Regions from separate parts of the Mus musculus genome. Here region 1 is reported to be linked to region 2. Evidence: microRNA targets listed by miRTarBase, many of them from high-throughput screens and not tested one by one. Region 2 holds a microRNA gene; the other region holds the end of a gene's coding sequence.
Evidence for each region. The annotated mature microRNA mmu-miR-466f-3p reads CAUACACACACACAUACACAC and lies in region 2 at 785-805, opposite strand. An mRNA with a match to its seed (bases 2 to 7 or 8) in the 3' UTR can be bound and repressed. Matches are read on the target gene's strand: a 7mer-m8 pairs with bases 2 to 8, a 7mer-A1 pairs with bases 2 to 7 and ends in A, and an 8mer does both.

Region 1: miRTarBase lists Ubn2 as a target of mmu-miR-466f-3p. Seed matches in the 3' UTR shown: 7mer-m8 at 297-303 and 7mer-m8 at 289-295.

What each region holds. Positions count from the first base shown.
Region 1 is chr6:38,501,861-38,505,414 of GRCm38, reverse strand. Ubn2 (ubinuclein 2) reads right to left here. Exons shown (of 17, transcript NM_177185.4): 17 at 1-3,177. The coding sequence ends at 3,128. Among named protein-coding and RNA genes, the nearest start is that of Mir7670, 3.7 kb to the left of the region's middle.
Region 2 is chr2:10,466,534-10,469,533 of GRCm38, reverse strand. It overlaps Mir466f-2 (microRNA 466f-2), which reads right to left and starts at 859; the gene lies at 766-859. The region is part of intron 10 of Sfmbt2 (Scm-like with four mbt domains 2); the gene reads right to left. Mir466m (microRNA 466m) reads right to left here and starts at 2,871; the gene lies at 2,788-2,871. Mir466f-1 (microRNA 466f-1) reads right to left here and starts at 2,590; the gene lies at 2,497-2,590. It also overlaps Mir669f, Mir669e, Mir669b, Mir669d and Mir669l.

The DNA of each region.
Region 1 (3,554 bases), not on the chromosome of region 2:
GAAATGTATTTACATTTAGAAAGGACTTTGATTCACTTGTATAACATGAAAGGGTTGCTGGACTGGGGATCTGGCAGCAGTCCTTAAGGAGTCAAGACTGACAGAAAACAGGATATATTTTACACAGCATAGTCTCAGAGCCCAGGGTAATCTTATAAAATGACATGGGAAAGAGAACCATCAAGGGTCTTCGTATAGCATGGTTCAGAATCGATGGATTTAAGAACCTACAATTATTGTTTGACTTTTAATATCGATTGATTTATATGAATATGTATGTGTCTGCAAATACACAAATACACAAGTATCAGCAAGAAGAGACACTAACACACATGGACTTCTCTCTGGGTAGAGAAAATGAAGTACAGGCTGCCTTCCTCAACAGACACCCCAGTACAGCAATTTATGAAGTATAAGCAGGCCTGTGAAACGAAGTTTCCTGGTGCTGGCGTAAGAGCTGATCAAGTTTCTCTAAGAGACCTTTCAAATGAACCTTAACGTGCTAAATTCAAGTCAAACTTCTCTGCAACATCCCAATATCTTTCCAAAATATCTACTGGGGCTTACATAGCCTCCTCATTTGTTTTATTGGTAAAGTAAATTTCTACAGTCAAGAAATTATATCAGTGATTACTTTCGTTTGTTTTCCTTTTTTCTTTTCTCTCTCTTTTTTTTTCTTTTTCTTTTTTGAGACAGGAGGAGGGTGGAGGAGCTCCCAGACCGACCTGGAGAGCTGGGATTTTCTACTGCAGGTGCCGCACACAAACAATGCAATGGGGCAGGGAGGGGGGCAGTCGGGGCACAAATGAAACTTGAACTAGGAAGTGGGAGGACTTAGAGCGGAGAAGAGACCATTGTAAAAGGAGGGGTAAGGAGGGGAAATCTATGCTTTTTATTTTAAAAAAGAAAAAGGAAAAAAAGAAAAAGAAAAATGTTAGTAACAAAAGAGGACAAAAAGAAAAAAACACAGCTCACAACCCATTCTGCACCAAACCGGAAGGAGAAGAGGCGCGAAGGAGCCTGGAGCAAGGGGCCCCAGTTTTTTGAAGAACTTTATGAACTTTTTAAAGATTATTTTCATATGGCAGCAAGTGACATTGAAGAACTTGCTGTCAGGGACACCTGATATGGAAGTCCAATAGATTTTTAATTAATTGAACATTAAAAGACAATAAGACAGTTGGAAACAGACAGCTCTCATTGTTAGTCCAGTAGAGACTAGCATGGGACTTGCTGCTAAATACTTCAGGCTGGCCTCAAACCTGAGATCTTCCTGCCTCAGCTTCCTGAATTCTAGGATTACAAGCATGGGCCATCATATCTAGTTTCAATGTTCTTCTAAAAAAAAAATCATCTTCCTTTACTGTAACGAGTTCTTGGAACTAAAGCTTTCAATTATTCATTGACTTTTTTGCTATTAAGCACGCCATTGAAACTTTGAAGTCAAATTATAGGCATAAAAATTGGAGCAGGTCTGCGGTTGGTTATTATAGTCCTAGAGGCTTCTTGGGACTTTTGCTCATCAAAGGAAAATGGGGTCTGGTTAACACTCTTATCTGAATAAACTTAAATGATACAGAGTAATATGTAATGAGATTATAGAAGCAATCTTGTTATTACCAGGCTAGTCTGTCACCATATATAAACTAAATTTGTATCACTCAGAGCTTTTTCTTGGATAGTCTGAAAATACTCAGAAGTTTAAAATTCAAGGACACCACAAACATAGCTGAGGCAAAATAAAATGTATCCCAAGAAAATTGTGTTTTCCCCTTCACACCCTTCATTGCCTCTATTCGCATATGAAAACTAGAATTAACGAATCTTATAATCTGTAGGCTGACTTGAATATTAATATTCTGAGTAAGTCATAGTAAAACTTTTAAGATCCCAAATGCTGAAAACATCCTGCGCTGGGCATGGGTCATAAAGCTTCATTGTGATAGTTATAACAGGTGGTCCTTTGTGCACATCCTGTGCACATCCGTATTCCTATTAGACTTCATCCCTTTAAAAATACCACTTCAGAATGAAAAACAGTCCACTATTATACATACGCTATTTGTTTGACCCATGAAGAGACAGATGCTGTGCACACTCCTGTTTATATCAACAGCTCTAGTCACCTAAAGTACCGCTAGTGAAAGAGCACTGTGCAGGGAGGGAACTGGGAGTTTGCAGTTCTTGGCAGGCTGCAAGAGAGATGAGCAGCAAAGCAGCAGCCCAACAACAAAGACGCACATGTCAAGAGAAAATGCGAGCAGTCACTTCTGCATATCAGGACGAGAAATAACTATTAACCAGTCAATACCAGATGACAAGTGAACTGTGGAAAGGAGTGCAGTACTTACTTCTGAATGGAGGGTGAAACTGACCCTTTTATAAAAAGGGATTATCTACATTTTGTCTCGTAAGAGCACAGGCTCCTTTTCCTGACTTTAAAAACCTAGAAGCTATAGTACTACACATCACTGTGTCACAGCAGCTTTGCTAAAGTATCTTCAGGCCACTGACTCGCACGGGGACCTGCTATATACTGGAGAAGATTCAAGTTTGCTCAGGACATTTCAGGGCACAGTACTCTTCGGCAACTGTCTGGAGAGCCTCATGCAACTGACTGTGGAAAATCTGTCTACTAGACAGACATGACTGAGTCTCCTTAAACTGGGCTAATTCTACTTGTAGCTGCTTTTATTATGCACTTATCTGTAGAGTGTTCAGACCTAACCCCCAGGATGGATGGCCATTTACCCAAATCCTCTTAACTTCCTTCCTTCTTCCCCAGTTTTTTTCCTTTTCTTTTCTTTTCTTTCCTTTTTTTTTTTTTTTTTTTTTAAATACAGTCAGATTGACACTTCTGTGGGTTTGACAGCTGAGTCTGCTTTAAGTTGGTTAACATGGGGGCTTGGGTTTGAAAAGACCAAAGCTCCCTGACTTTGCACAAAAGCATCTCTTCCTCCTGCACTGGCTTTGCTCAAGTAACATTTTCTCTCTTTTCCTCCTCACCACAGTGCTTGGGACAAGCATGTAAACATGGACAGAAACAGCAGCCCTGTGACCGCCAAGACTTCCCATCAGGTCGGTCCCGCCAGCCAGCCAAGTGGTTCCTCTCCCCCTTGCTGGAAAGTCACTGAGGTTTCCGTGGTAACTTAGTGTCCCCTTTACTTTGGCCTCCATCTGAGAAAAGAAACATTAAATTGGTATGTTTTGCACATCGTAAAAAAGCAAAAGCAAAAGCAAGAAGAATCAGTTTATTGTGAATTACATTTCTAAAATGATAACCTTTACCTCACGTGGTGATGGTATTACAGAAGTTGATTCTGTAGACTGGTAGTGACTGAGAACTCTATGAAAACTATCCTGGCAGGTATGTACCATTCCATTTATTTACCTCATAACCATGTTCAATGCTGGGTTCTAAAGCAATCAGATCACACAATGCCCACCTTCAAGGGACCTACTCAATCTTTTGATTTCTTTGGAAGATTAGGCCAGTTTTATTTTCTTATAATAAGTGGAATTAAATATTTTTCCATAACATGGTATGTGGTAAT
Region 2 (3,000 bases):
GTGAGCATCCACTTCTGCGTTTGCCAGGCCCTGGGCCTACTGACTCTGGTAAACATTATCACCTGCTGACTGAGACCCCTCTCAGGCCAAGTACTGCATAACCTCCAAAACTTGAGGTGACATATCATTCAAATGAATCACTGAGTGCCATTCATGTCTGTGTGTCTTTGTGTGCCTGTATATGATTGTATGTATGGATATGTATATTCATATACAAACAGGCAAATGCACACAAAACTATACACCCATGCACATACACGGGGTACATCCCAGGAATACCAGGCTGATCTCTAACTCATTATGAAGTTAAGCATGAATTTGAACTCCAGATCTTTCTGACTATACCAATCGTTTATATCTGGTGAGTAAAAAGTTTCATTGGCCCAGTACTACATAATTTCTAAAGCTCTAAATCACATATCAATAAAATAAATCGATGAATACCATTCCTGCGTGTGTGTTGATGTGTTCATATGAATGCGTGTATATATGGGTGTGTATGTATATGTATATTCATATACACACATATACATGCACACACAACTATACGCACATGCACAAACATGGGGGGCAAAACATGATTCACAGTTTGATCTCTAAATCCTCATGAATGTAAGCATGAATTTGAACTCCTGATTCTCCTGATTCTGGCAAGCATTTTCAACTAGAAAGTGAGAGCACTCACTGGCCCAGTACTACATAATCTCTATAGTTCTACGTCACATATCATTCAAATGGATAAATGAGTGCCATTCGTGTGTGTGTGTGTGTGTGTGTTACATGAGTGTGTATGTGTGTGTGTATGTATACATATATTCATATACACACATGCACATGCACACACACGTAAACACACATTCACATACATGGGTGGCATCACATGAATGCCAGGATGATCTCTAACTGAAGTTAATCATGAATTTGAACTCCTGATCCTCCTGACTCTGTCAACCATTTTCACCTGGTGAGTGAGACCGTTCATTGACACACTACTGCATAATCTATAAGACTCTAAGTCACATATCATTCAAATGGATCGATGAGTGCCATTCCTGTGTATATGTATTTGTGTGTGTGCATGCATGCGTGTGTATATGGGTGTGTATGTATATGTATATTCATATACACACATATACATGCACACACAAGTATACACACATATAGAGCAAGCAACACACAAATCCCGGGCTGATCTCTAACTCATCATGAAATTAAGCATAAATTTTTACTGCTGTTCTTCCTTACTCTGCAAGCATTTTCACCTGGTGAGAGAGAGAGAGCTCTTTTGGGCAAAGGAATACTCAATCTCTAACCTCTAGGTTGCATATCATTCACATGGATTGGTAAGTGGCAATTGTGGGTGTGTTTGTGTGTGTGTGCATGTTTGTGTGGGTATGTATGTATATGTATATTCATATATACATACATTTTCATGCACACATAAATATACACACATGCACATACATAGGGGTCATCACATTAACACAAGGCTGATCTCTAACTCATCATGAAGTTATTATGAATTTGAACTCCTGATTCTCCTGACTGTGAGAAATGTTTTTGCCTGGTGAGTGAGATGTCTCACTGGCCCAGTAAATTTACATATTATACAAATGGATCGATGAAAGCCATTTCTGTGTCTGTATCTGCGCATGCGTGTATATGTTTGTGTGTATGTATATGTACATTAATAGACACACATGCACATGCACACAAAACTATATACACATGCACATACATTCATGGGGGACATCCCATGAATTCTAGGCTGATGTCTAACTCATCATGAAATTAAGCATGAATTTCATCTCCTAATCCTCCTGAGTATGGCAAACATTGTTACCTGGTGAGTGAGATCTCTCCCTGGCACTGTCCTGCCTAAACTCTCAAGCTCTAAGACACATATCATTCAAATGGATGTGTGTGTGTGTGCATGAGTGTGTAAGTGTGTGTATATTCATATTCATATACACAAATGAACATGCACACACAAGACACACACCTGCCCATATATAGGGTACAGCCCATGAATCCCAGGCTGATCTTTAACTCATTATGAAGTTAAGCATGATTTTGAACTCTGGATACTGATGCTCTGGCAAGCCTTCCCTGGTGAATGAAAAGTTTCAGTGGCCCAATACTACATAATCTCTAAAGCTCTAAGTCACATATCATTCAAATGGATCAACGAGTGCCATTCCTCTGTGTGTGTTTGTGCTTGCGTTTATACGTGTGTGTGTATGTATATGTATATTCATATACACACATGCACATGCACACACAACTATACACACAGGCACATACATGGGGGGCATCACATGAATCACAGACTAATCTCTAAATTCTCAGGAAGTTGAGCATGAATTTGAATTCCTGATTCTCCTGATTCTGGCAAGCATTTTCACCTTCTGAGTGAGACCATTCACTGGCCCAGTACTGTATAATCTCTAAAACTATAAGTCACATATCATTAAAAGTGATCAGTGAGTGTCATTCATATGTGTGTGTTGCATGTGTGTGTATGTGTGTGTGTATGTGTATGTATATTCATATACACACATGCACATGCACACACACGTAAACACACATGCACATACATATGAATACCAGGATGATCTCTAACTGAAGGTAAGCATGAATTTGAACTTCTGATCCTCCTGACTCTGTCAATCGTTTACACCTGGTGAGTGAGAACATTCACTGTCCCCTATTGCATAATCTCTAAAACTCTAAGTCACATACCATTCAAATGGATTGATAAGTGCCATTCCTGTATGTGTGTGTTTGTGTGTGTGTACGTGCGTGTGTATGTGTGTATGTATATGTATATTCATATACACACATGCACATGCACACACAAGAACACACACAGGCACATACATAGGGGCCATCACATAAATCCCAGGATGATTTCTAAATCTTCATGAAGTTAATTATGAATTTGAACTCTTTATTCTCCTGACTCTGGCAAGCGTTTTTACTTAGTGAGTGAGATGTCTC